4 linked regions of the Stegostoma tigrinum genome follow. The protein of the gene in region 4 interacts with the protein of the main gene of each other region in a biochemical or structural test. Links are inferred from orthologs where the notes say so. Each region holds a gene or a part of one and is shown on either strand. Other genes may lie near its edges.

Region 1 (6,990 bases), on a different chromosome or scaffold from region 4:
AAATGTGCTCTAAAATCAGAGTTTCAGTGGAACAGTCATAGGAACTGGTACATGTAAAAAGGGCCAAGACCCTTCTAGTTTATGTTTCACCATCTCGGTAATCGCATGATACAACAATAAAGTTGTTACAGCAATCAATCCTAACAATTAATCTACAGAAACAAAAATAATCTCTGGATTTTGTCAGATTTGCAAATTAATGCACAATTATAATTAATACCAGCTTCCATAATATAACACCAATGATTTTTTTCTAGAAAGATATAAAAACAAATATTAACTAGGAAACAATTTAGCAAATTTCAAAAACCTTATGTTATTGTGTTATACTCAGTATTGATATGATCATTGGAACAGCTTTGACAGAGGAGGTACAAAATCTTCAAAAATAATTCTGCAAACTAAAGGACCATTTAATATATTAGTGTAGTAAATACAGATTGTAGAGAGGTTCAAATAATCCACAAAGAGTGGTGCACTTTTCTACAGTTTCATTATTTAAAAGTGGTTACCTTGCTAAGGAAGCAGTGACAAACAATGAGGATGATAAATCACAAATTTCACTGCTGTGCAAGAACAAATACCTGTCAGTGAATTTGGCTGCTTTCAGTCTTCAGTTAGGCTTTATTCAAGTTCAGGAGATCATTAAGGCCCCTTAATCAGTTTATTGCATTATAATTCACTGATTTCATCATTATCTCAAATGAACTGCAAATGATTTAATTCGGAGTATTTTACCCAGAACTTTAAAAAAAGATGAACAATATTGTTACATTACCATTGTCCTCAAAAGGAAACTTTTAAACACTGGTCACTTTTAAAGAGCAAGTCAAATATGTCATGTTTATTACATAGGTGAGATATTTAAAGCCAAATTATTAAGCATTAATTTACATCAAAACTAGTGAATTTTCCTCTTTATTTACAAATCATTTTAAGTTCTGCATATTGACATTTAAATTTCCATTATTATATCACTATGTGCAGATTAAAAGTACAAATTGTCTTAAAATGCAAATAATTGATGAACAGTACCTTAGTACCGCTTGCTGTGAGGTCACTTATCTACACTTGGTTCTAAACTCTCAGCTCTAACTATCCTGTACTTCCCAGTTCTTTCACATTCAGTACTGCATATCTCAGAACATCCCCCTCTATCTCATGTGTTAGATTTTCACACTTAGATGTCTGAACTTCTTGAACTCCAACAGCCTGAGAATCCAGCTGTGATTGCTTCGGACATTTTATACTCTAGTTCTAAAAACTTGGCTTATACCGAAACATAAAAGTATCCACTTACATTTGGATGTAACAAAAGTGTGCAAATACAACTTATATTGAATACTGTTAAGTATTGGGTTCTCTTCATCCTGTTCCACAAGTTCAAATAAAAACTACTGTACTACAAAACTGGTCTATCATAGTTGTAATTAATGTAAAATGCAACTTTGGTTTATATCCTCAACTTAACAGACCAAATTTCAACTTTCAAAATGTGGATTGAAACTGAATGCACGCAAAAGACAATACTTGTCTAGTACAATGAACAATAAACTTCCACAACTGGAAATCAGGACAGAAGTTAATACATCTTCATTCAGGGGGTTCTATGACACTGGGCCACAGATGAGAAGTCAGCAATTTCTTTATTCTTTATTTCTTCATTTTTCTGCCTTAAAATTCTTTAATTTTGGTTTATTTGTATTTTAAGATGACACTGGAGAGTGGCAACATTATACCACAATTTTTACCATATTTTGTAAGTAAACAGACATGACAATAAATCAAAATCATGCCATGACTTTATTCATAAGTGTCATACCTTCCAGTTTTAACAAAAAAAAGTTGCCTTTTATTCTTAGTACAGGTAAACACGCAATTCTAACAAGTAGCAAAACACAGCATTAGCTCGTAGTTGTGAAAGCTGGTTAAGCCATCTAGATCAACTCCAAGCAGACATGATATTCATGCTAAGGTTTCTACAATTAAACAAAACTGAAGGAATTTTGTTAACTACAGTAGAAATCAACTGACCAGAATGCAGAATCATCACCATATCTTGCATAGCCACAGAACTGGGTGAATTTGCCAAGGTGGACAATGTAGTTAAAATAATGCCCGTTCAACAAAAAGGTAAACCCCATTTAAAGTAGAACTAATACGCAAAGAAAAATATATTTATTTAAATAACGGACACTGCGGATGGCCAAAGATGGAAAAAAAACCTAGATAGAGAGTACTGCATTGAGACCAATCTGCCAGAGTGGCCAAGGAGCTGAGCCCCCAGGTAAACGCTTCCCTAGGTTACACCGCATAAAGCAGTCTGGGGATTGCAGTTCCCTTGTGACGCCACTAGGTGTGTCATCACATAATTAGTCGTCATAGAACTACAATTCCCAGAAAACGTCACGAACGTTGCGCCTGCGCGTTGATATACGCGTCCCACATTCTCGTACCCTCCCCAACATCCTGAAATAAATACAACTCCAGACAGCTTCTCAGCAGAGTTGACAAAGCTTCTGCATCGGGGGGAGGGGGAGTAGAGAAAGAGAATAATAATCCCCTTCCTTGCCCAATGCCGCCACCATATCATTCTGCTGATATCCACTTTCGACCATGAATCGGACAAGGAGAAAAAGAATGCGATCAGGTTAGTCAGGGCATTAATATGAGACACTCTGGAAAGAAAACTGCGTCACCTCTCTTCTGTGACACACGAATCATCTCCATTAAAGAGACGCAGGTGAAACAGAATACCTTGCACTAAACGCAGACAAAAACAAATGAACCCTGTAGTGCTGACAAAGGAAATGGCATAGCCATGTGAAATATGTATGCACCATGGGGGACAGCAGTAGTTAGAGCGGCGGATCCTCGATACTTACTGACTGCATCCGCGTGCATTTTCAGGGCGAGGATGGTTCAGAACGCGCCGGACAACCGCTCCCGCTCGTGCCGGTGAAGCCAGCCAGTAACAACGGAAGTCCCGCCTGCGCCTCTCTGCGATTGGCTCCCCAGCCCGCCCACCTCGCGTAACTCTCAGGGCAGCGTTCCTCTGGCTACTGGAATGTCAATCACAGGGGCCGCCACGGATGGGCGGGACCGGTGGTGTGGTTCGGCACGGCTTGGCTCCGCCTTCAGCCTCGGGGAGAACGGTAGCTGTCGGTACAGGTTATTTATCACCCATTCGTTGCGATGTACACGTTTAAAGCAAATTGAAACACATACTCCTATGATGAGGGATGTTGAATGGTGTCCTGGCGTTATTTATCCCCCGCCCCCCCCTCCCCCGGCTAACTTATACTGTTTTCTAATGAAGTCGCCACCTCGTCGTTGCAGTAAATAATAGGAATGAGTCCCCATCCTAGCAACAGAGGGATCCTGGACCAATCAGAGTACCGGTCCGTGGCCTGTTGTACCGGTTATTGGGGGAGGGGAGAGGTGAACCACTTGATCTGGATTGTGCCGTTGAGGTCGTGGCTATGGTTACATTTTTATTCAATAAATCTGCATTTAGATTTACACTGACTCAGCGATAATCTGCCAAATTCCGTTCCCCAGTAATCACCCCGCTTTCTTACATGACTTGTCTTAATTCTCCCCACGCTTGAACGAGTTCAATCGATTTGCAAACTCCTCACTCCCGTTGAAGATTTCTCGCTTCCAGTGCCCACTGTAAGGAAGAAAGACGAAGAAATTATACGTCTGTCAGTCACACTTTATCATGGCTAGGTTTGGCTAAGGCGAATGTAGGTCCTTTACTGGCAGTCACTAGAAGTCATAATGAGGAATAAGAGAAATGGTAGATGAGTTTGTGTTTGTTTTCACCGAGGATGGTGCAAGCTATTTCCCCGAACCAGAGATCGAATCCAGCAAATTAGTATTAATAAAAAAAGTTCTACTGGAGAAAAAGTGGAGCTGAAAGTTGGCCTTCAAGGACCTGATAGTTTAAATCCCACACAGTTTAAAGACGTGGCTATCAAGATAATGAAGGAAACAAATTACTGCAGATGCTACAAAAAAAAGCTGGAGATCACAGCGGGTCAGACGACATCCACGAAAGGAAAGAAAGCTAACGTTTCGAGCTTCAGCTGTGATGAAGAGTCATCTAAACTCGAAATGTTCAGCCGACTCTTTCTGCATCGATGCTGTCTGAGCCGCTGTAATCTCCAGCATTTGTTGTGTTTGCTATCGGGACAGTGCGTCGTTGGTCATCAGCTTCTAAATTCTAAGGAGTGATTCCTAAAGGTTGGAAGCTACGTACGTCGTACCACTAATAAATAAGGAAGTGAGAAAGAAAACAGGCGACTGCAGACTTAATAGCTCTCACGAGTAGTAGGGGAAGTGAATTATAAAGAATATGATCAATAGATGAATGGACAAAAATGTAGGGCACAATCATTACGAATTTGCAACTTGGAGGTCAGGGGGCTGTTAGTCACAAAATTGATTATGGAAAGTGAACGGATGTAACAAACTGAAATTTTCAGGTTTTATAGCGTCCCCTGCAGGACCTTCAGCAAATTCAAAACACACGAGAATGGGAGGTTAATAAAATGTGAGGCTGGATGAACACAGCAGGCCAAGCAGCATCTCAGGAGCACAAAAGCTGACGTTTCGGGCCTAGATCCTTCATCAGAGAGGGGGATGGAGAGAGGGAACTGTAATAAATAGGGAGAGAGGGAGGCGGACCGAAGATGGAGAGTAAAGATAGGTGGAGAGAGTATAGGTGGGGAGGTAGGGAGGGGATAGGTCAGTCCAGGGAAGACAGACAGGTCAAGGAGGTGGGATGAGGTTATTAGGTGGACGGGGGTGCGGCTTGGGGTGGGAGGAAGAGATGGGTGAGAGGAAGAACGGTTAGGGAGGCAGAGACAGGTTGGATTGGTTTTGGGATGCAGTGGGTGGGGGGGAAGAGCTGGGCTGGTTGTGTGGTGCAGTGGGGGGAGGGGACGAACTGGGCTGGTTTAGGGATGCAGTAGGGGAAGGGAAGATTTTGAAACTGGTGAAGTCCACATTGATACCATATGGCTGCAGGGTTCCCAGGCGGAATATGAGTTGCTGTTCCTGCAACCTTCGGGTGGCATCATTGTGGCACTGCAGGAGGCCCATGATGGACATGTCATCTAGAGAATGGGAGCGGGAGTGGAAATGGTTTGCGACTGGGAGGTGCAGTTGTTTGTTGCGAACTGAGCGGAGGTGTTCTGCAAAGCGGTCCCCAAGCCTCCGCTTGGTTTCCCTAATGTAGAGGAAGCCGCACTGGGTACAGTGGATGCAGTATACCACATTGGCAGATGTGCAGGTGAACCTCTGCTTAATGTGGAATGTCATCTTGGGGCCTGGGATAGGGGTGAGGGGGCAAGTGTCGCATTTCCTGCGGTTGCAGGGGAAGGTGCCGGGTGTGGTGGGGTTGGAGGGCAGTGTGGAACGAACAAGGGAGTCACGGAGAGAGTGGTCTCTCCGGAAAGCAGACAGGGGTGGGGATGGAAAAATGTCTTGGGTGGTGGGGTCGGATTGTAGATGGCGGAAGTGTCGGAGGATGATGCGTTGTATCCGGAGGTTGGTAGGGTGGTGTGTGAGAACGAGGGGGATCCTCTTAGGGCGGTTGTGGCGGGGGCGGGGTGTGAGGGATGTGTTGCGGGAAATACGGGAGACGCGGTCAAGGGCGTTCTCGATCACTGTGGGGGGAAAGTTGCGGTCCTTCATGGGCCTCCTGCACTGCCACAATGATGCCACCTGAAGGTTGCAGGAACAGCAACTCATATTCCGCCTGGGAACCCTGCAGCCATATGGTATCAATGTGGACTTCACCAGTTTCAAAATCTCCCCTTCCCCTACTGCATCCCTAAACCAGCCCAATTCGTCCCCTCCCCCCACTGCACCACACCACCAGCCCAGCTCTTCCCCCCACCCACTGCATCCCAAAACCAGTCCAACCTGTCTCTGCCTCCCTAACCGGTTCTTCCTCTCACCCATCCCTTCCTCCCACCCCAAGCCGCACCCCCATCTACCTACTAACCTCATCCCACCTCCTTGACCTGTCCGTCTTCCCTGGACTGACCTATCCCCTCCCTACCTCCCCACCTATACTCTCTCCACCTATCTTCTTTACTCTCCATCTTCGGTCCGCCTCCCCCTCTCTCCCTATTTATTCCAGTTCCCTCTCCCCATCCCCCTCTCTGATGAAGGGTCTAGGCCCGAAACGTCAGCTTTTGTGCTCCTGAGATGCTGCTTGGCCTGCTGTGTTCATCCAGCCTCACATTTTATTATCTTGGAATTCTCCAGCATCTGCAGTTCCCATTATCTCAGAATAGGAGGTTATGTGTGGGCATAGATGAAGATTGAGCCAACAGGTTGGAAACAGACCTAGAAATGAACAGATTATTCTCGTGTTGGTAGGCTGTTTCTAGAAGGATATCAGTGGGTCAGAATTTGGGCCCCAGCTGTTTGCAATATATAGGCAATTCGGATGTGGGGTCCAGAATGACATATTTGCAGATGATACAAAGCTAAGTGGAGGGATCTGTGTTGCCTTCAGGCCAGAGATCCTGGTTCAAATCCCACCTGCCTTGAAGGTATGTCATATCATATCCAACCAGGGTGGATGAAAATAACTACAAAGCTGTGCTGTGATTAATTAGATTCCCTACAGTGTGGAAACAGGCCCTTCAGCCCAACAACTCCACACCACCCTTTGCAGCGTCCCACCCAGACCCATCCCCCTATAACACACACACACACCCATGTACACAACGGGCAATTTAACATGGCCAATCCACCTAGCCTGCGCATCTTTGGACTGATAATGATATCAAGTGTTTTGGGAGGATGTGGACAGACTTGGTGATTAGGCAAGAACATGGCAGATGGAATATCTGGATATATGTTGGTAAAATTTGGTTATCCACATTAGTGTAAGTAAACTAAGTATAGAACATTTCTTAAATGGTAAGGTCTGTCATGATCTCATTGAGTGTGGAAGTCATGAAAGGC
Region 2 (6,893 bases), on a different chromosome or scaffold from region 4:
ATGTTGCCAAACAGAGACCTAAAGCTGCAGGTGTGCATAACTCCTTGAAAGTGGAGTCACAGCGAGACACAGTGGTCAAGAAGGCATTTGACACACCTGCCTTCTATAGGAAATAATTTGTTAAACTGGAATGGGTGCAGAAGGGATTTAAAAGAATGTTGTAGTGACTGGAGAGTTTCAGTTATAGGAAGAGGTTGAATAGGCTGGGGCTTTATTTTTCCTGGAGCATCAGAGGCTGAGGGGGGACCTCAGAGGTTTATAAAAGCGTGAACGACTTGGGTAGGGTAACTAGCCACAGTCCTTATCCTAAGGTGGGAAAGTCCAAAAACTAGAGGGGATGAGTTTAAAGTGAGAAGGTGAAAACGATCCGAGCGGCAACGTTGTCACAGAGGGTGGTGAGTATATGGAATGAACTGCTAGAGGAAGTGGTGGAGACACGTACAATTACAACATTTAAAAGGCATCTGGATGGGTATATGAATAGGAAGTGTTTAGAAGGAGATGAGCTAAATGCTGGGAAATGGGACTACGTCAGATTGGGGTGTCTGTTCAGCATGGACAAGTTGGACCAAGGGATCTGCTTCTGTCCTCTAACTTTTTATGCCCCTTATCGAGAAGGCTGAAAGCAAGGAGCTAGACAAGCTGAAGAGCCACTGTAATAGATTAGGCTTAAAGAAGCAAGGATGCTTCAGGTGCACAGGTTGTGCCACAGGACTGGATTGGGAAAATATCGTAGTAATTAACCAGCAATGAGTCAAATCAAAGTTGTGGGACTCAAATCAGGGGCTGCTTGGATCAACCTAATCTCGTTTCTATAAGCTTCTTCATCCTATGTGTACAATTAATGCAGGGGCCAAGCTGAAAAATGAATGGTGGAACAGGCTTGAAGGGCCGAATGGCCTATTCCTACTCCTGTTTTGTATTGTTTTATTTAATTGTTCATTGTCTCAGCATCTCCCAATGATAATCAAATACTTCTTATTTATGGGACAAGTTGGTACTGGCATGAAGCTAAGATATGGTTTGCCCGGACTGTCAGGAAGCTTTTGATAGGGTCACACACAATAAATTAGCATCTTAACTTTACTGTCCCAGGAATCAGTCTGGTAAACCATCTTTGCATTCCCTTCATTGCAAGAGTACCCTTCCTCAGATGAAGAGAAAAACTGTACACAACCTTCCAGATGTGGTGTCACTAAAGCCCTATACTCAATTGCTAACCTTAACCCTATCCCCCATTTAACTTTGAGACAGCTAAAGCTGTCAAGTCATTGACAAGTGCATGGCTTGTCAACCATATTAACATGTTTGAAGTCAGATATCAGTTAGACTGAATTTGTGTTTCTAGTGGCATTGCATAAAATTCATTCCACACCTGGATGAAGAAAAATTAGAGACGGAACATTCGATTTAAGATTACATTCTACAGTCATTACTATTTGTTTTCTAAAGCACAGTCTGACTAGAAGATTTCTATTATCACTCATTCAGCAGATTCCTTATTTTCGACATCCTGAAATGCACAAATCAAAAGTGTGGAGGCTAGTAGAGAACAGAACTGCATCATGTGTTATGTCAAAGGTCTGCTCGATCAATTTCAAGAGATCTTTTTTCACATCAGAACCTCACACAATCATGGCCCAGTCAAGAGGAACAAAAATACCAAAGTGGGTAGCTTAATACTTACCAGCCGATTGAACGTCCGAGAGATCTGTTGGAAGTCTGCCAGAATGAGCTAGGCTCCCACTAGAAAACGGTAAAGACGACAGCGTCAAAATAATATTTCTGTCGATATTCTTCAGGCACAAGCTACAACAACTCATGAAGCATTTTCCTGATATACAATTCAAAATATGAAAATACCACTCAAGAACGGCTTCTTTTTTCCCCGACACATTATTTGCACTGCAAATTGACCGTAAATAACGAAGAGAGATGGCAAGACCCAAAATGTGGATTTAATCACGTAAACAAAAATATTCTGGGCGATTTAACAATTTTTTCTCAACCTTTTCCCAGACCTGATTTCCGAAGATTACATTTATATTTGGCCCTGCAAAACCAAACTGAGATAACTAGGTTTGAAATGAGTTTCCTCGAAAACTGTAAAAAATACCGAGGCGGTTAACTCTCTACGCAATTCGGGTGATGAGGAGACACTGCGCAGTTTGTAAAAGAGAAGCCACCGGCCCTGAAAATCTCTCCGGTGCCAGCAGGAGCTGCAGCCAGAGCGGGGACTGCACCAGGCCCTGTCCCTTCAAAAATGCCTCACCACATCGCGACCGCGGTGAAAGCTGTTCAAAAGAAAACGTTAGTCGTCCTCGACTGAGTGCATGACTTGGACTCCGATCAAAAGCAAAACAAAGTTACCAAGACTTCGCACGGAGTCGCCGCCAGGACGTTAGACTTGGGGATTGGGGGAGGGGTTGGTATATGCTCTCTCGATCTGTGTGTTTAGTCGTGGAGCTGATCTTCTAGCCCTCCATTTCCTGTTGGGTTAAAACTCCGCCGCCTCCAGCATCTCATCTGGGCCAGTTTCAAGTATTTTCGGGTTGGTTCAGTACCTCACCGCTCCTGACAAAGAAACAGCCCTCACACCACACCCCCCCCCCCCCCCAACCGCCTCCACCACCGGCAACTGCTCCACCTCCTCCCCCAGGAATCAGCTCCCGGAGGGAGGTTTCACTCAAACCCTGCCCCGTGCGATCCGGGGTTCACAGAGCACCAGGACCGCGCATGCTGCAGGGAGCCGGATCCCTGGCTCTACCCCCAGGCACTCGCGTCAACGGGGCGGCTCGGAGGCAGTGAGCAGAGCCGGGTTCGCTCGCCGTCTTCCCCAGGCCGTGATTTATGAGACGGGAACACGGATTCCCAGCACAGTCCCACCTCCCGCTGTAGGGCTGCGGTGTACGAGCAACTCCGTCCGGCTGCTCTCCTCCACTGCCGCCGCCTCAGCTTCTCCGGCTCAGGGGACCGGCACGGCGAGTACTTCCGGGGCTAAATGACGACCGGGGTCAAGGGTCAGCAAGATACCGCGTCCTGGGAATGGCTGGGGTAGTGGCTGGATTGGCCGTGGGTGGGGGGAAGGGAAAGTGAATCAGCCATGTCAGAGACAAAAGTGCAAAAGATCGGACTTTGTGAAACTTATAAAGTACAGTGCACCTTGAAATAATTTACGTGACGGAATAATTCTTAGCCAAAGTTGTTTTGCTACACAGCAATAAATCACCGTATTAAAAGATCCCCCCTCCAAATTGCTCGCAGAGATGGAGCGGTCAGATCGTCCACCCGACGGAGGGAGATCCTGCAGCTGAGACTGTTCCATTAAAGTTCAAATCCCCGCATTTCCTTTTTAACGCGCAAACACTCCTTGCCTTAAATATTGTCTCTATAATAAGCAATGCACATTTGTGAGATTAGTCGCCGACACAATGTGATGATTTTTGAACCCCCTCCTTCCATTGATGTTCTTTTTGTGTACTCGCGTGGACTGGCCTGCCGGGCTTTTAGGGACGTGTGGGGGGGGGGGTGGAGAACGCGGCTGTCACTCTCACGGCTTGAGTCCTCCTTTAAAGGGGCAGGCACCGCCCCGCAGTCGACTGCAGCTTCTCCTCTCCCGGCAGGAGGAGGGCTCTTGAAGACCCTGTGCGGTTTTTGTTGCGACGACTCGCCGCCCCTCCAGCGTACGTCATTTCCGGAAGGCTGGCTGTTGCCGTGTCGGGTTACCGGGGACGCTCGGCGTTGCCAACAACGCGGGAGGTGCTGACTGTGGGTGGCCCGGCCCGGCTCGGACCAGCGGGCAAGACCAGGCCGGAGAGGGGAGGAGGTCCACTACATTCGGTGAGCTACAGTCATGATAACGCGGCAGTGTTCCTGGTGACCGAAGGCCGTTGTTTCTGGGAGCTGATGGCCAGGGCCGGACATCGTTGAAATTGACTGATCACTAATGTGACTTTCTCCCAGACACACATTCCATTTCTATAGAAATCGTCAGGGAGAAAACTTGCCCTGTGGCCGATTGCTGGGATTTCTATATGATGCTGGATGGCTCTTCGGCGTAATTTAAGCAAATAGCTATTCAGTAGAAAGTGAATAAGAAAAGTGACAGTTCACAGCCACCAACAGTTTCGAGAACAAAGGTGAGATTGAGCAGAAGGCATTTTTTTGCCATCTCTTTATAAATCTCGTGCCCCCACTTCCCACCTTGCTGTCATTATAAATACTTGTCTGAAGTATCAGAAGCATCTCATTCTTATGAGGGATGAAAATGGACAAGTTTGAGGAGACTTAAGCGTGTGGTAAGGTCCTGGAGAGCATTGCTGAAAAAGAGATCTTGGAGTGCAGGTTCATAGTTCCTTGAAAGTGGAGTTGAAGTTAGACAGAATAGTGAAGTGGATGTTCGGTATAAAAACCAAAGGTGCAGGAAAAGCTGAGCAGGTCTGGCAGCATCAGAAGAAAAAAAAATCAGAGTTAACGTTTCGGGTCTGGTGACCTTCCATTTCGGGTCCAGTGACTGGACCTGAAATGTTAGCTCTGATTTTTTCCTATGCAGATGCTGCCAGACTTGCTCAGCTTTTCCAGCACCTTTTGATTTTGTTCCTAACTTAGAACATCCACAGTTCTTTTGGTTTTTATTTAGGGTGTTTGGTATGTTTACTTTTATTGATCAGTGCATTGAATGTAGGAGTTGGGATGGCATATTGCAGCTGTGCAGGACATTGGTTACGCTACTTTTGAAAAAACTGTGTTCAAGTCTGGTCTCATTGCTACAGGAGGGATGTTATGAAATTTGAAGGGGTTCAGAAAACATTTATAAGGATGTTGCCAGGGTTGGAGGATTTGGGCTGAGGCTATTTTCCTCGGAGGGTTAGAGGCTGAAGGGTAACCTTTATCGTAGTTTATAAAACCATGAGGAGCATGGATAGGGTGAATAGACAAGGCCTTTTCTCCAGGGTAGGGGAGTCCAAAATGAGAGGGCATAGTTTTAAGGTGAAAGGGGAATAATTGAAAAGGGACTGAAGGGACAACTTCTACATGGAGAGGGAGGTGTATGTTTGGAATGAGCTGCCAAAGGAAGTAGTAGAGGCTGGTACGGTTACAACATTTACGGTTACACCATTTAAAAGGCATCTGGATGGGTTTATGAACAGGAAGGGTTTAGACAGATATGGCCCAAATTCTGGCAAATAGGAATAGATTAATTTAGGATATCTAGTTGGCGTGGATGAGTTGGACTGAAGGCTCTGTTTCCATGCTCTTCATCTCTGACACTATGACTCTTGTTAGGCATAAATACTTATTCTAGCTGATAACTTGTAAAGGGCTATAGAGTCCAACCTGATTAGATGTATAAGGACCCGAGAATGTAATTGGAGGTAGATAAAGTTATATAGAATAAGCTAGTCGAATTCTAATTATCATAAACATGCAAATGAAATTATATAATCTAAGTTCATCATTGTAGAATATGTGTATATTCTAAATTTACTGCTGTGATGCTGGGGGTGAGAAAGGTGAGATAATGACAATATTTCCAGACTAGAGGAACAAAGAGGCTTATGGGAAGATTTAATAGGAATTATTTAAATCATTATGTTTTGCTAAGTTGAATAGGGAATATATTTTTCCCCTGACAACTCCAATGACAAGTGGCTATTGATTTAAAATTCTCAAACTGAGGAGAAATGAGTTAAAATAAAAACTTAAATGCAGAATTGTTTGAGCATGAACTGTTCTGATAAAGGAAGTCAATGGAGAAAAGAATCTTAAGAGAAAAATGAGCCAATATTGTAGTGATTGGCATAGGAAATTAAATTGATTTTGCTTTAGCAAAGAACAGGTGGTGATTATATGGTACAATGTGCTAAAAGAGGTAGAGTCCTTAGTCCTGAACCATGAGGCCTGGGTTCAAGTCCCACCTGCTCCAGATCTGTGTCGTAACATCTCGGAACAGGTTGATTTAGAAAAATAGGTTAAATTTAGAAAAACAGAAAATTGGATGTCTATGTGACAATGCTGTCAGTTTAAAAGTTCTTTTCTCTTTTTGATGAGAGATTGTAAAGTAGAGGTGCAGGCTGGCTACTGAAGATGACTTCTGTAAGCAATTTATGAGGTGTTGTGTTTTTTTTTGACAGGCTGACTGGCTATGGCCAGTTCCCTCAGATCCAGATTTATGGTTTTTTCTCAATAATATCGGAAGCTCTTGGGGTCTCAATAGAGTTGGGAACTTCAGTGAATGTTTCCTGGCTGCTGCTATCTCTGTATTTTCTCTTGATGATTTTAACTCTGGGAGTGGAGAATTTTATGTGAGAATCCGTGCCTGCATTTGCCTTTTTGCTAAGTTGTGTGTCTTTGGGATGTCACTATATTGGAACAGTTAACTTGTACCAGTTACTGTATCTATTATTTAGCAAAGTTTTCCAACAGTTAATTTATTTGATTAACTCTTTCTTTTGTTTTTATTTTAACAATAGTGTTTAAATCAATTGTAGTTGGCTTAACAACGTATAGTTTGACCAGTTATATCGCAACTGGAACATGGCTTTTCATATCTATCTTTAAAATAATAAAAAGTTAGGTTCTAGAATCCTTTCTTAAAATATTTTGAGGTGATCTGGCCTGGTCCATAACAGTGCATCATTGGTCTTGAATACTTTAGGCACTGTGGGAGATAGAGTGCTTTATGTCCCCCTCCTTCAGTCCCTAAACACCCGCCCATCACTTTTTTGATTTCAGTATAGCCTTTAACAGGCTTTGCTTGTTAATATGCAACTGGCTACATGGGTATTTTCCTGATGGTGAAAGAAGGAATGAAATCTATTCACAATGGTGTCCTTTTTTCTATCTCTATTAAAATTTAATAAAAAGGTGATTTGTTGGGGGGAATAGGGCAC
Region 3 (7,822 bases), on a different chromosome or scaffold from region 4:
CCATGCCAAAAACAGCCTCACAGCACCAGGGACCCAGGTTCGATTCCAGCCTCGGGTGACTCTCTGTGCAGAGTTTGCACGTACTCCCAATGTCTGCATGGGCTTCCTCCAGGTGCTCCGGTTTCCGTCCACAGTCCAAAGATGTGCAGGCTAGGTGGATTGGCAATGCTAAATTGCCCATAGTGTTCAGGGGTGTGTGGATTATAGGGGGATGCGTTTGGGTGGGATGGTATAAGGGGTGGTGTGGACTTGTTGGGCCGAAGGGCCTGTTTTACACTGTAGGGAATTTAATCTAATTTCTTGCTTTACCTGTATGTTAATTTTCTGTATTAGTTATATAAGCACACCCACATTCCTCTGAATATCAAGTATTGATTGTTCTAATTGAAAACTATTGATTTTATACTCTTCCTACTGAAGTGAATAACCTTATTTCCTATCATTACATTGCAACCCCTTCCAACTCAGTTAAAAATATAAAATGTCTTTGCAGATTACATCCTCTTCCCAGCTTACTTTCTCACCTAGTTCCTTATCTACAAAACCAATGAGGTTACACTCGGACCCTTCAACCAAACTGTTGACAATTAATGGTAAATAATGGTATCTCCGAAATTCAGGACTTTTCTAGTTATTGCTTGCCAACCTGAGACCTAACTCTAACCTTCAGGAATCAAGAGTTCAATAATTAAGCACCTTTTCCCATGTCCTTACCCCAAACCCCATACACCAAAGCCTCGTCATCATTTAGCCTGCTACCGCGACCAACTCAGTGTCAGCTAATGGTCCCTCACTCCATCTCCACTTATCATTTACTCCTCCCCAATCCTATCTTCAGCATACAGGCTAACCTTTTCCTAGCTAATTACTTCTGAAGAAGGGTCACTGGACTCAAAACTTTGACTCTGCTTTCTCTCCATAGAGACCTGCCAGACCTGCTGAGTTTTTCCAGTGATTTCTGTTTTTGTTTCCGATTTCCAGCAACCACAGTTCTTACGGGTTTTCTTTAAATCTATTTATTGCTACTCCATTTTTTGCCCTTTATATCAACTTTCACTAATTCTACTACACTAGTCCAATCTCAAGAGCATTTATAATAAATGTGAAGTACTGCAGAAATTGGAGATTTGAAAAAACAATTAGAAAGCAGAGAAATTCAGCACATCAAGAGCTTATACCTTGTGCAGCCCTTTTTGTGACATCTTATTGAATCCTTTTAGAAATCTAAATATGCCTGGGCTGGAACAACTCAGCAATGCGCAGACCGACAGGCTGGAGTTGTCCTCCTTAAAAGGAGAGAAGGCTGAGGGAAGGGATCTGATCAAAGTGTACAAAATTCTGAGGGGCACAGATGGGTAGACACTTTTCCCCTTAATTGAGGGGTAAATAACAAGGGGGCAGTTTTAAGGTTAGGAGCAGGAAGGTTAGAGTGGGTTTGAGGATTTCCTTTTCACCTAGAGGGTTGTGGGCATTTAGAACAGAATGTCTAATAGGACGTTAGAGAAGCCTCAAGTAATTTAAAAAGCTATATAGCTGAACAGTTGAAACTCGATTCTATACTAGGCCACAGGCTAAATGCTGGAAAATGGGATTAAAATAGATCCATATTTGATGGCTGGTGTAGAAACAACAGTCCTCTTTCCATGTTGTAAAATCTCTATGGCTAAGAAGTTGAAATCTAACCTGGTGTTCAGAATAGTATCTATCCCTCTAAGAACATTCCTACAACTAATTATCTAGTCACTAACACATTCTTGTTGTGGAACCTTGCTATGTGCAAATTGGCTGCTGCATTTCAAAAAATGACTTTGAAAATAACATGTTGACTATAAAAATGCTCTGGGGTATTCCAAGGTTGTGAAAGATTATAGAAAATGTTTTGCTTTTAGAAGTAAACAGGTTTCTGCAATGTCCACATGCGTGCATAACACGAGAACCTGAAAGCAGATTGTCACTATTCTGTAATGAATTAATCTGAAAGCTAACTCTAGTAGTGACATAGTACTCGCAAAAGGCCTGTAATTCCAATGACAGGGCAATCCCAGGAGAGGGAAATTCTCATCTGTAGGAAAGGTTGAACTAGGGCAATAGACAAGTGAAAAACAAACTGCTCGGCAATGCTCCATCGCCACCCCTCCCCCATTCAAACTGCATCTTCATTTTAGAACACAGTGCTTGCGTGCAGGACCATTGTTGATGCCTGCAATTGATTACTGTTACGAAGATCAACCTGTCAACAATCTATCTTGAAGCCATTCTGCCTCTACGTTATCATTGAAGAATCATCGCTTGGAAGCACACCATTTATACACTTTATCACCAACATTTATTTTTTCCATTGAAAGGAACATTTCATTCCATGGATTTAAAAAGGAAATTAGGCCATCACTCGTTTTAGCAGGCAACCCAGATTTCAACACCCAAAACAGAAGGAAAGTTATCCATCACACAGACTCAGATAAGGTAGAAAGTGCCACGTGTGAGGGAGATATTTCTTTGATTCAGACTTGAATCAATTGCCTCACCAAAACAAAAAGCCCAACCGCCGTTACCCCACTCCGTTTGTGCTACAACCCAGGTCGATGTCGAAAAACAGAAACTTACAAATAACATGAAACGTGATCAAGCCATCGTCCTGTTTTCCGGGAGAGCGAGTTTAAAAAGCAGACGGCTGAGGAGTTTTTGAGTATTAATTCAGGGTGAGGAGTCAGAGGTCTGCGCGAAGGCACTGAAACAACGACGGGCTTCCCTTGGCCTCGGAGAGAGGAAAGGCAGGAAAGGCGCCAGGCCTTCTCACGACATCATCACGGCCGGGCAACCCGACCTTTTCAAAGCCATAGTCACCCCGGATGGACACTAACGTTCAGCTTTTCGCGAAAGGCACGGACGGAGAAACGGCCACCGTTCCGCTGATAATTTGAGGAGACAGAAACTTCCCCTCATCACTTCCTACTGCGCCGGGCAGCCAGCTTTCCGTCTGCGCATTACCTCATCAAACCTTGCGGTCAGACAACAGTGACGCCATGACGCTGATGACACGAGGCCACACCGCCGCGCGGAGGGGCGGGGAAGAGGAGGAGGTGATGCGCGTGCGCAGAAGGCTTTGGAACGGATCGGAGCTCTGTGTGGATATGAGCCTACGTTCCGGTGGAAGTGCGCATGCGCATTTCCATCAGCTGCCCGGCGGCGATGAGGGAAATGCGCGTGCGCAACTCCGCGGGCGGGCGTGAACCTGGATTGGCGGGCGCGCATGGCGTGTTTGCGTGAATCGGACGGAGTTGCGCGCGTTCGCGGTCAGACGCGGCATCGCGCCCTGGCTTTGGGATTGGGTTGAGCGGGGAGGAGGGCAAAGGGAAGAAGACGCGCGTGCTTGCCGCTCGTGGCCTGGTGAGTGGTACGCATGCGCAGTGCTGGGGCGCGCGCGGTTTTCCGTTGGGATGTCAGATTGGCGGTGTCTCCTCGGTACCCCTCTCCCGTGAATCGGTGTTGACACCGCCGCCTGTGCGCTCTCTCTAAAGTTCGGTATATTCCGCTTCTTTATCCATCCCTGTTCTCCGGTAACGACCGAACGCAAAACAGAAAATAGTAGTTTTATTTTAATTTAGGGCGGGTGGCCCTGGCTCCATCCAACGTGAGGTCACCTGACAGCAGTTTAACTACTTCACGTCTTTATTTTATCTTCTCTTATTTAAAAATTCACAAATCAGAAAGACAACGCGCTGTCGTGATGGACGAATGGTCGGTGTGACGGGCGGTTGAATATTTGGAGAGTGAACTGCGGCCGGATGCTTCATCTTGAGAAGGTGAGGCCGTCCCCTTCTCCCTCGCCTTGTGGCTGGGTAGTTTGTGTGGGTGTTTGGTAAGGGCTGGGGAAGAGAAGAAACGAGCCGTTCACTCGAGCGTTTTGCCTTTTTTTTTCCTTTCTGCATCAGTCATGAATTTATAAACACAGCTGTCGGCTTTTAAACTGAGGCCGTGGGGAGATACTCCCCGATTGCTGAATGAAACTTCTCAAATATAATCCCTGCAGTGTGGAAACAGGCTATTCGGCCCAGAGAGTCCATACTGATCCTCCGAAGAGCATTCCACCCAGACCCATACCCAATCCCTGTATTTTCCATGGCTGACGGACCTAATCAGTGCATCCCTGAACACTATAGGCAATTTAGCTTGGCTAATCTGCCTAACCTGCACATCTTTGGGCTATCGATATTTCTATTAGATGGTTAATACCAGCCCTGCTTTCTTGCGTTTTTCATTGATGTGTAATAAGAAGTCACCTGTAATATAAATTGTTCTTCCATTTGAAATTCAGCATCTAGCCCCTCTTCGGACGATTGCAAGGCAAAATGTTTAGTCATACATCTTTGTTTTGCCTTGATTTACTCATTTTTTTAAACTTTTAGTTCCAAACTTTACTCAATTTTTTCTTAATTTGTACCAAACAGCTAAAATTTAAGAATTAAACTAGCCCTTGTGGATAACAGTCAAGTTTCCATTTTTCTTAAAAAGAACTGTTGCTTTATCTAAAGTTAGAAATTGCAAGCTATAAGAATGTAGCCTACAGGAACTTCAACGCACAATAAACATTCTCACCGAGAGCCTATAAGGCTATGATAAAGTTCATGTGAAATCATAGCCAGTACCGAACTTACACACAACTGGACCACACCATTCTTCATATAACAGATTTCCAGTATCCCCTGATTTGATAAAGTGCTAATGTAATGGTTTTATTTGCTTGTGTTGCTGCACAAATAAATGATAGTATAATTACTTGACTTTCAAGAGTGACAAAAATCTTGACAATTTGAGCTGGCACCTTCAACGTTGCTCTCTAATAGCTTAATTCAGTGACTTGCATTTGTATCCTGTACTGCCTATAACCTTGGCTTCACGGCAGTTTAATCAGGTAAATACTGACAAGTGTCAAATAATCGAGGTAGATACTAAGGGCTAGATCCCTGGAATGGTAGGTTTAACGTATGATGAACGGCTAAGGATCCTGGGATTGTACTCATTAGAGTTTACAAGGTTATGGGGAGATCTAATAGAAATTTACAAGATAATGTATGGTCTAGAAGGGGTGGACGCTAGGAAGTTGTTTCTGTTAGGCGGGGAAACTAGGACCTGTGGGCACAGCCTTAAAATTAGAGGGGGTAAATTTAAAACTGAACTGAGACGGCATTTCTTCAGCCAGAGAGTGGTGGGCATGTGGAATTCATTGCCACGGAGTGCAGTGGAGGCCGGGAAGTTGGATGCCTTCAAGGCAGAAATCAACAAATTCTTGATCTCAGAACGAATCAAGGGCTATGGGGAGAGTGCAGGGAAGTGGAGTTGAAATGCCCATCAGCCATGATTTTAATGGCGGAGTGGACTTGACGGGCCAAATGGCCTTACTTCCATTCCTGTGTCTTATGGTCTTATGGCCATATTCAAGGAGGGGAGACAGAGAGAAGTTTGGAAATTCCAGAGCTGCAGCATGGACCATTGAAGTCATGGCTGAGAACAGTGGGGCAAAGGAACTTTGAGGCATGCAAACTTTCAGGCTGGAGGAAATTACAATGATATAAAGGAGAGATTTGAACCCTATGATAAAAAAGCAAATTTTGTCTAGTGGTAGGTAGAGAGGTAAGTCAGTGAGTATACTGGTTAGTAGATATTTGACTGAGTATATGGACGGTAGAGTTGCAGTGACTTTGGGTTTATGCACAGGCAGTGTCTGCTGATATACAGTCAGCATGGATTTTTCAAAATCATAGTTTTTATTGTGCAGCTGGATATTATTTGTTACGTGTGAAATCCAATAATTAGCATGATGCAGCTTAACCTTCCATGTTTTGGTAACTCTTAAATGCTTCTCCTGACCAGTATAGTCATGTTTCATACTCAGGGCACAGTCCTTAGTGTACTACTCAGAATTTAAATGTCACCATTCGGTGAAATAATCCAGTAGCATTCATCTCCAGTTTTGCAACACTAATGTAGACACTTGCTGTACAAGGCTAGTCCTCTTTCCTCCACCCAGCACTTAACTGAAGCCCACGATCAGGAGGAAATTAGACGCCATCAAGCCAGCAAGCTGACTCTGGAAATCTGATTGGAATTGGTGGTTCACCGGAGGCCAAAACCCCATTTTGCTTGAGCTTCTGACAAGTGCAATGGACTAAAAATAAACTTTAATCCACCACCTCAACTTCTTGTTGTGAGTTATAGAACACAGAACAATACAGCGCCGAACAGGCCCTTCGGCCCTCGATGTTGTGCCGACCTGTGAACTGATCTAATCCCCCTACACTATCCCATCATTATCCATATGCTTATCCAAGGACTGTTTAAATGCCCCTAATGTGGCTGAGTTAACTACATTGGCAGGCAGGGCATTCCACACCCTTACCACTCTGAGTAAAGAACCTGCCACTGACATCTGTCTTAAATCTATCACCCCTCAATTTGTAGCCAAGTCCTCTTGTACAAGCTGAAGTCATCATCCTCGAAAAAGACTCTCACTGTCCACCCTATCTAATCCTCTGATCGTCTTGTATGTCTCTATAAAATCCCCTCTTAGCCTCCTTCTCTCCAACGAGAACAGACCCAAGTCCCTCAGCCTTTCTTCATAGGGCCTTCGCTCTAGACCAGACAACATCCTGGTGAATCTCCTCTGCACCTTTTCCGATGCTTCCACATCCTTCCTGTAATGGGGTGACCAGAACTGCACGCAGTATTCCAAATGAGGTCGCACTAGCATTTTGTACAGTTGCAGCATGACATCATGGCTCCGGAACTCAATCACCGTAAGCCGCCTTAACAGCACTATCAACCTGGGTGGCAACTTTCAGGGATCTATGTACATGGACACCAAGATCCCTCTGCACATCCACACTACCAAGAATCTTTCCATTGACCTGGTATTCTGCCACCTTATTATTCCTCCTAAAGTGAATCACCTCACATTTATCCGTATTAAAATCCATTTGCCACGTTTCAGCCCAATTCTGCAGTTTATCCAAGTTATCTGTGTAATTGCTCCTAAAACTAGGCTGCTTCCAATTGCTCCAGTAGCGTGTGTTTACTGACAATTCCTGGAATTCCAGATGACTTCCAGACTTCCACCCCTTTTTAAAATATTCACAGAAACACCCCACTTCCTGCCAAGCCATTGTTCGCAAGACAAACACATGCCTAGATTAATTGACCATAAACGCTTATTTGACACCAATTAAAACACAAGCATTGAAATTCCAGGAAATTGATGATTTTTTTTCCAATGTTGGCTGAGAGTTTCTGTCCTTTTATTTGTGATATTGCTGGTATATACAACCACCCCATTGACTCAGCGGCTCCCCTTTTCTGAGTACAAAAAGGCTCCAGAAAAGCAAAAAATGGCCTGCTTACCAATCCCATTTGCACACTTCATCCACAGAGTCTTCACTTTTGGAAATTAGGGAACTGGAATCCAGATCTTCTGACCTAGCAATAGGGACACTACCACTGCACTGCAAAATTCAACTTAAAATTGTCAAAATTCTCATGTGGTGTATGTCAATGCATGTATTTCCACCATGTTTTATTTGCAGTTCTGATTCTGCCCCAAACCACCTTTCTGATTCTTAACCTTCCTTTGTAGATTCTAGAACCCATTCCTGTCTAGACCTGTGTGCCAAATTACAACAGCAAGTAGTTTAACAATTCTTATCTCCTAATAATGTTCTCCATTTCTGTGTTAGCTGCATCATTTAAAAAACAAACCTGTCATAACAATAAATAAATAGCACTTTTGTGACTCAAAATAGCATTTAACTGTTAGTGTTTCAATTGAAGG
Region 4 (7,847 bases):
ATTGAGTGTATGAGTGAGTGTGATCCGGATTGAGCATGTGAGTGAGTGAGTGTGATCTGGATTGGGCGTGTGAGTGAGTGAGTGAGTGTGATCCGGATTGAGTGAGTGAGTTTGATTGGGATTGAGTGTGTGAGTCAGTGTGATCCGGATTGAGTGAGTGAGTGTGATCCAGATCGAGTGTTTGAGTGAGTGAGATCTGGATTGAGTGTGAGAGTGAGTGAGTGAGTGTGATCCGGATTGAGTGAGTGAGTTTGATTGGGGTTGAGTGTGTGAGTGAGTGTGATCCGGATTGAGTGAGTGAGTGAGATCCGGATTGAGTGTTTGAGTGAGTGAGTGAGTGTGATCCGGATTGAGTGAGTGCGATCCGGATTGAGTGAGTGAGTGAGTGTGATCCAGATTGAGTGAGTGAGTTTGATTGGGATTGAGTGTGTGAGTGAGTGTGATCCGGATTGAGTGTGTGAGTGAGTGTGATCCGGATTGAGTGAGTGAGTTTGATTGGGATTGAGTGTGTGAGTGAGTGAGTGTGATCCGGATTGAGTGTGTGAGTGAGTGTGATCCGGATTGAGTGTGAGTGTGATCCGGATTGAGTGAGTGAGTGTGATCCGGATTGAGTATTTGAGTGAGTGAGTGCGATCTGGATTGAGTGTGTGAGTGAGTGCGATCCGGATTGAGTGTGTGAGTGAGTGTGATCAGGATTGAGGGTGTGAATGAGTGAGTGAGTGTGATCCGGACTGAGTGAGTGTGTGGGTGGGTGAGTGAGTGAGTGAGTGAGTGAGAGAGAGAGATCGGGATTGAGTGTGTGAATGAGTGCGTGAGTGTGATCCGGATTGAGTGTGTGAGTGTGAGCTGGATTGAGCATGTGAGTGAGTGAGTGTGATCCGGATTGAGTGAGTGAGGTTGATTTGGATTGAGTGTGTGAGTGAGTGTGATCCAAATTGAGTGTTTGAGTGAGTGTGATCCGGATTGAGCGTGTGAGTGAGTGTGATCCTGATTGAGTGAGTGAGTTTGATTGGGATTGAGTGTGTGTGAGTGAGTGAGTGTGATCCAGATTGAACGTGTGAGTGAGTGAGTGTGATCTGGATTGAGCGTGTGAGTGAGTGTGATTCGGATTGAGTGAGTGAGTTTCATTGGGATTGAGTGTGTGAGTGAGTGAGTGAGTGTGATCTGGATTGAGTGTGTGAGTGAGTGTGATCCAGATTGAGTGAGTGAGTCAGTGTGATCTGGATTGAGCGTGTGAGTGAGTGAGTGTGATCGGGATTGAGTGTGTGAGTGAGTCTGATCTGGATTGAGTGTGTGAGTGAGTGAGTGAGTGTGATCCGGATTGAGTGAGTGAGTTTGATTGAGATTGAGTGTGTGAGTGAGTGAGTGAGTGTGATCCGGATTGGGTGTGTGAGTGAGTGTGATCCGGATTGAGTGTGTGAGTGAGTGAGTGAGTGTGATCCGGATTGAGTGAGTGAGTTTGATTGAGATTGAGTGTGTGAGTGAGTGAGTGAGTGAGTGTGATCCGGATTGGGTGTGTGAGTGAGTGTGATCCGGATTGAGCGTGTGAGTGAGTGAGTGAGTGTGATCCGGATTCAGTGTGTGTGAGTGAGTGAGTGTGATCTGGATTGAGTGTGTGAATGAGTGTGATCCAGATTGAGTGAGTGAGTGAGTGAGAACCAGATTGAGTGTGAGTGTGATCCGGATTGAGTGAGTGAGTTAGTGTGATCCGGATTGAGTGTGTGAGTGAGTGTGATCCAGATTGAGCATGTCGTGATCTGGATTGGGCGTGTGAGTGAGTGAGTTGGTGAGTGAGTTTGATTGAGATTGAGTCTGTGAGTGAGTGAGTGAGTGTGATCCGGATTGGGTGTGTGAGTGAGTGTGATCCGGATTGAGTGTGTGAGTGAGTGAGTTGGTGAGTGAGTTTGATTGAGATTGAGTGTGTGAGTGAGTGAGTGTGATCCGGATTGAGTGTGTGAGTGAGTGTGATCCGGATTGAGTGAGTGAGTTTGATTGGGATTGAGTGTGTGAGTGAGTGAGTGAGTGTGATCTGGATTGTGCGTGTGAGTGAGTGAGTGTGATCCGGATTGAGTGTGTGAGTGAGTGTGATCCGGATTGAGTGAGTGAGTTTGATTGGGATTGAGTGTGTGAGTGAGTGAGTGAGTGTGATCTGGATTGAGTGTGTGAGTGAGTGTGATCTGGATTGAGTGAGTGAGTTTGATTGGGATTGAGTGTGTGAGTGAGTGAGTGAGATCTGGATTGAGTGTGTGAGTGAGTGTGATCCGGATTGAGTGAGTAAGTGAGTGTGATCCGGATTGAGTGTTTGAGTGAGTGAGTGAGTGTGATCCAGATTGAGTGACTGAGTGAGTGCGATCCGGATTGAGTGAGTGAGTGAGTGTGATCCGGATTGAGTGAGTGAGTTTGATTGAGATTGAGTGTGTGAGTGAGTGTGATCCGGATTGAGTGTTTGAGTGAGTGTGATCCAAATTGAGTGAGTGCGATCCGGATTGAGTGTGTGAGTGAGTGTGATCGGGATTGAGGGTGTGAATGAGTGAGTGAATGTGATCCGGATCCAGATTGAGTGTGCGTGATCCGGATTGAGTTTGATTGAGATTGAGTCTGTGAGTGAGTGAGTGAGTGTGATCCGGATTGGGTGTGTGAGTGAGTGTGATCCGGATTGAGTGTGTGAGTGAGTGAGTTGGTGAGTGAGTTTGATTGAGATTGAGTGTGTGAGTGAGTGAGTGTGATCCGGATTGAGTGTGTGAGTGAGTGTGATCCGGATTGAGTGAGTGAGTTTGATTGGGATTGAGTGTGTGAGTGAGTGAGTGAGTGTGATCTGGATTGAGCGTGTGAGTGAGTGAGTGTGATCCGGATTGAGTGTGTGAGTGAGTGTGATCCGGATTGAGTGAGTGAGTTTGATTGGGATTGAGTGTGTGAGTGAGTGAGTGAGTGTGATCTGGATTGAGTGTGTGAGTGAGTGTGATCTGGATTGAGTGAGTGAGTTTGATTGGGATTGAGTGTGTGAGTGAGTGAGTGAGATCTGGATTGAGTGTGTGAGTGAGTGTGATCCGGATTGAGTGAGTAAGTGAGTGTGATCCGGATTGAGTGTTTGAGTGAGTGAGTGAGTGTGATCCAGATTGAGTGACTGAGTGAGTGCGATCCGGATTGAGTGAGTGAGTGAGTGTGATCCGGATTGAGTGAGTGAGTTTGATTGAGATTGAGTGTGTGAGTGAGTGTGATCCGGATTGAGTGTTTGAGTGAGTGTGATCCAAATTGAGTGAGTGCGATCCGGATTGAGTGTGTGAGTGAGTGTGATCGGGATTGAGGGTGTGAATGAGTGAGTGAATGTGATCCGGATCCAGATTGAGTGTGCGTGATCCGGATTGAGTGTGTGAGTGAGTGAGTGTGATCCGGATTGAGTGTGTGAGTTTGTGAGAGTGATCCAGATTGCGTGTGTGAGTGAGTGTGATCGGGACTGAGTGTGTGAATGAGTGAGTGAGTGTGATCCGGATTGAGTGTGTCAGTGCGTGTGATCCGGATTGAGTGTTTGAGTGAGTGAGTGTAATCCGGATTGAGTGAGTGAGTGAGTGTGATCTGGATTGAGTGTGATTGAGTGAATGTGATCTGGATTGATTGATTGAGTGAGTGTGAGTGTGATCGGGATTGAGTGTGTGAATGAGTGAGTGAGTGTGATCCAGATTGAGTGTTTGAGTGAGTGAGTGTGATCTGGATTGAGTGTGTGAGTTTGATTGGGATTGAGCGTGTGAGTTTGATTGCGATTGAGTGTGTGAGTGAGTGAGTGTGATCCGGATTGAGTGTGAGAATGAGTGAGTGCGTGTGATCTGGATTGAGTGTGTGAATGACTGAGTGAGTGCGATCCGGATTGAGTGAGTGAATGACTGAGTGAGTGCGATCCGGATTGAGTGAGTGAGTGAGAGAGATCCGGATTGAGTGTGTGAATGAGTGAGTGAGTGTGATCCGGATTGAGTGTGTGTGAGATCCGGATTGAGTGAGTGAGTGTGATCCGGATTGAGTGTGTGTGAGTGTGAGCCGGATTGAGTGTGTGAGTGAGTGAGTGAGTGTGAACCGGATTGAGTGTGAGTGTGATCCGGATTGACTGAGTGAGTGTGATCCGGATTGAGTGAGTGAGTGACTGCAATCCGGATTGAGTGAGTGTGATCCGGATTGAGTGTGTGAGTGAGTGAGTGAGTGTGAACCGGATTGAGTGTGAGTATGATCCGGATTGAGTGAGTGAGTGACTGCAATCCGGATTGAGTGAGTGTGATCCGGATTGAGTGAGTGAGTGTGATCCGTGTTGAGTGTGTGAGTGAGTGAGTGTGATCCGGATTGAGTGAGTGTGATCCAGATTGAGTAAATGAGTGCGATCCGGATTGAGTGTGTGAATGAGTGAGTGAGTCTGATCCGGATTGAGTGTGTGAATGAGTGAGTGAGTGTGATCCGGATTGAGTGTGAGTGTGAGCCGGATTGAGTGTGTGTGTGTGTGTGATCCGGATTGAGTGTGTGTGAGTGAGTGTGATCCGGATTGAGTGTTTGTGAGTGAGTGTGAGCCGGATTGAGTGTGTGTGAGTGAGTGTGATCCGGATTGAGTGTTTGTGAGTGAGTGTGAGCCGGATTGAGTGTGTGTGAGTGAGTGTGATCCGGATTGAGTGTTTGTGAGTGAGTGTGAGCCGGATTGAGTGTTTGTGAGTGAGTGTGATCCGGATTGAGTGTGTGTGAGTGAGTGTGATCCGGATTGAGTGTTTGTGAGTGAGTGTGAGCCGGATTGAGTGTGTGTGAGTGAGTGTGATCCGGATTGAGTGTGTGTGAGTGAGTGTGATCCGGATTGAGTGTTTGTGAGTGAGTGTGAGCCGGATTGCCAGGCGGACAGGGGTCGCTCTCTCTCTCTCTCCGTGTGTGTCAGTCCGGGAGCCGCGGTTGCCGCACACACTCACACTGAGACTGAGAGAGACGCCGCTGGGAACAGCCCAGCCCCGGAGCCGAGCGGCCGCCGTGGATTCAGCGAAGACGATCAGTTGGAGGCCGGGCTCGGACGGTGAGGAGCTCGGTGCGGGACACGGTCGGCGTTTTTGTGAACGGGTAGCCGGCTGTCTGCCTGGGCCCCAGGCCGTCCTGGCCCTGCCGGGGAGGGGGAGGATGCGGCCTGTCGGCCCCCGGTGTCAGTTTAACGGTGACTCGGCGCCTTCGGGTTGCTCTCGGGCTGGGCCTGAGCGGAGAGGCCGCGGCGGGGGTGCCGGCTGTTGTAGGAGGTTTCAAAGCCTGTGTCCAGGGCCAGTGTCTCGTTGAAGGGCACGGGAGGCGCCCCGGGGCCGGGCCAGGCCAGGGCTGGGCTGTGGAAAGAAGCTTCAGGGGTCGGGAGCAAACAGCTGAGAATTAAACATCATGTCACTTTACCCGCCCTCCTCTGCCCCAACTCTCACCTGCACACCCTCCCCCCCCCTTCCCCCCCCCCCACGTTCCCCCCCTTCCCCCCCCCCCCACGTTCCCCCCCTTCCCCCCCCCCCCACGTTCCCCCCCTTCCCCCCCCCCACGTTCCCCCCCTTCCCCCCCCCCCACGTTCCCCCCCTTCCCCCCCCCACGTTCCCCCCCCCGTTCCCCCTCATCCCCCCCCCGTTCCCCCTCATCCCCCCCCCGTTCCCCCTCATCCCCCCCCCGTTCCCCCTCATCCCCCCCCGTTCCCCCTCATCCCCCCCCGTTCCCCCTCATCCCCCCCGTTCCCCCTCATCCCCCCCCCGTTCCGCCTCATCCCCCCCCCGTTCCCCCTCATCCCCCCCCCCGTTCCCCCTCATCCCCCCCCGTTCCCCCTCATCCCCCCCCCGTTCCCCCTCATCCCCCCCCCGTTCCCCCTCATCCCCCCCCCGTTCCCCCTCATCCCCCCCCGTTCCCCCTCATCCCCCCCGTTCCCCCTCATCTCCCCCCCGTTCCCCCTCATCCACCCCCCCCGTTCCCCCTCATCCACCCCCCCGTTCCCCCTCATCCACCCCCCCCGTTCCCCCTCCCCGTCCCCCCCCCGTCCCCCCCCCGTCCCCCCCCCGTCCCCCCCCCGTTCCCCCCCCGTGTTCCCCCCCCCGTGTTCCCCCCCCCCCGTGTTCCCCCCCCCCCGTGTTCCCCCCCCCCGTGTTCCCCCCCCCGTTCCCCCCCCCCGTGTTCCCCCCCCCGTGTTCCCCCCCCCCGTGTTCCCCCCCCCCGTGTTCCCCCCCCCCGTGTTCCCCCCCCCCCGTGTTCCCCCCCCCCCCGTGTTCCCCCCCCCCGTGTTCCCCCCCCCCCGTGTTCCCCCCCCCCCGTGTTCCCCCCCCCCCGTGTTCCCCCCCCCCGTGTTCCCCCCCCCGTGTTCCCCCCCCCCGTGTTCCCCCCCCCGTGTTCCCCCCCCCGTGTCCCCCCCCCCGTGTCCCCCCCCCCCGTGTCCCCCCCCCCGTGTTCCCCCCCCCCGTGTTCCCCCCCCCCGTGTTCCCCCCCCCGTGTTCCCCCCCCCCGTGTTCCCCCCCCCCGTGTTCTCCCCCCCCCGTGTTCTCCCCCCCCCCGTGTTCTCCCCCCCCCGTGTTCTCCCCCCCCCGTGTTCTCCCCCCCCCGTGTTCCCCCCCCCCGTGTTCCCCCCCCCCGTGTTCTCCCCCCCCCGTTCCCCCCCCCCCCGTTCCCCCCCCCCCCGTTTTCCCCCCCCCGTTTTCCCCCCCCCCGTTTTCCCCCCCCGTTCCCCCCCCCCGTTTTCCCCGTTCCCCCCCCCCGTTCCCCCCCCCCGTTGTTCCCCCCCCCGTTCCCCCCCCCATTTCCCCCCCCGTTTCTCCCCCCCCCCGTTTCCCCCCCCGTTTCCCCCCCCCGTTTCCCCCCCCCGTTTCTCCCCCCCCCGTTTCCCCCCCCCCCGTTTCCCCCCCCCCCGTTTCCCCCCCCCCCGTTTCCCCCCCCCCGTTTCCCCCCCCGTTTCCCCCCCCGTTTCCCCCCCCCCGTTTCCCCCCCCGTTTCCCCCCCCGTTCCCCCTCATCCCCCCCCCGTTCCCCCTCATCCCCCCCCGTTCCCCCTCATCCCCCCCCGTTCCCCCTCATCTCCCCCCCCGTTCCCCCTCATCTCCCCCCCAGTTCCCCCTCATATCCCCCCCCGTTCCCCCTCATATCCCCCCCCGTTCCCCCTCATATCCCCCCCCGTTCCCCCTCATATCCCCCCCCGTTCCCCCTCATCTCCCCCCCAGTTCCCCCTCATCCCCCCCCGTTCCCCCTCATCCCCTCCCCCCGTTCCCCCTCATCACCTCCCCCCGTTCCGCCTCATCCCCCCCGTTCCCCCTCATCCCCCCCTCATCCCCCCCGTTCCCCGTCATCCCCCCCGTTCCCCGTCATCCCCCCCGTTCCCCGTCATCCCCCCCGTTCCCCCTCATCCCCCCGTTCCCCCTCATCCCCCCCCGTTCCCCCTCATCCCCCCCGTTCCCTCTCATCCCCTCCCCCCGTTCCCCCTCAACCCCCCCGTTCCCCCTCATCCCCTCCCCATCCCCCCTCGTCCCCTCCCCATCCCCCCTCGTCCCCTCCCCATCCCCCCTCGTCCCCTCCCCATCCCTCCCCGTTCCCTCCCCATCCCCCCCCGTTCCCTCCCCATCCCCCCCCGTTCCCCCTCATCCCCTCCCCCCTTCCCCCTCATCCCCTCCCCCCGTTCCCCCTCATCCCCCCGTTCCCCCTCATCCCCTCCCCCCGTTCCCCCTCATCCCCTCCCCCCGTTCCCCCTCATCCCCCCGCCGTTCCCCCTCATCCACCCCCGGTCCCCCTCATCCCCCCCCTCATATTCCCCCCTCATCCCCCCCCTCATATTCCCCCCTCATCCCCCCGTTCCCCCTCATCCCCCCCCGTTCCCCCTCATCCCCCCCCGTTCCC

The links.
Region 1: of the proteins of cul2 (region 4) and dcun1d4, one has a biochemical effect on the other in vitro, tested with the Homo sapiens proteins (2 studies listed by BioGRID, with this or other methods). The link is inferred for Stegostoma tigrinum from reciprocal best matches to the Homo sapiens genes CUL2 and DCUN1D4.
Region 2: of the proteins of cul2 (region 4) and dcun1d5, one has a biochemical effect on the other in vitro, tested with the Homo sapiens proteins (2 studies listed by BioGRID, with this or other methods). The link is inferred for Stegostoma tigrinum from reciprocal best matches to the Homo sapiens genes CUL2 and DCUN1D5.
Region 3: of the proteins of cul2 (region 4) and dcun1d3, one has a biochemical effect on the other in vitro, tested with the Homo sapiens proteins (2 studies listed by BioGRID, with this or other methods). The link is inferred for Stegostoma tigrinum from reciprocal best matches to the Homo sapiens genes CUL2 and DCUN1D3.

The regions. Positions count from the first base shown.
Region 1 is NC_081354.1:106,281,295-106,288,284, reverse strand, and holds the start of dcun1d4 (DCN1-like protein 4), read right to left. Parts: upstream 3,015-6,990; 5' UTR 2,905-3,014; coding exon 2,886-2,904; intron 1-2,885. UniProt on the Homo sapiens protein: Contributes to the neddylation of all cullins by transferring NEDD8 from N-terminally acetylated NEDD8-conjugating E2s enzyme to different cullin C-terminal domain-RBX complexes which are necessary for the activation of cullin-RING E3 ubiquitin ligases (CRLs).
Region 2 is NC_081359.1:67,007,181-67,014,073, forward strand, and holds the start of dcun1d5 (DCN1-like protein 5), read right to left. Parts: upstream 3,001-6,893; 5' UTR 2,887-3,000; intron 2,594-2,886; exon of another isoform or gene 2,371-2,593; intron 1,747-2,370; 5' UTR 1,688-1,746; intron 1-1,687. UniProt on the Homo sapiens protein: Contributes to the neddylation of all cullins by transferring NEDD8 from N-terminally acetylated NEDD8-conjugating E2s enzyme to different cullin C-terminal domain-RBX complexes which is necessary for the activation of cullin-RING E3 ubiquitin ligases (CRLs).
Region 3 is NC_081376.1:49,316,799-49,324,620, reverse strand, and holds the start of dcun1d3 (DCN1-like protein 3), read right to left. Parts: upstream 3,018-7,822; 5' UTR 2,605-3,017; intron 1-2,604. Other genes in the region: lyrm1 (LYR motif containing protein 1), read left to right, coding at 3,786-3,803. UniProt on the Homo sapiens protein: Contributes to the neddylation of all cullins by transferring NEDD8 from N-terminally acetylated NEDD8-conjugating E2s enzyme to different cullin C-terminal domain-RBX complexes and may play a role in the cell cycle progression by regulating the SCF ubiquitin E3 ligase complex, after UV damage.
Region 4 is NC_081355.1:130,397,812-130,405,658, reverse strand, and holds the start of cul2 (cullin-2), read left to right. Parts: upstream 1-4,830; 5' UTR 4,831-5,032; intron 5,033-7,847.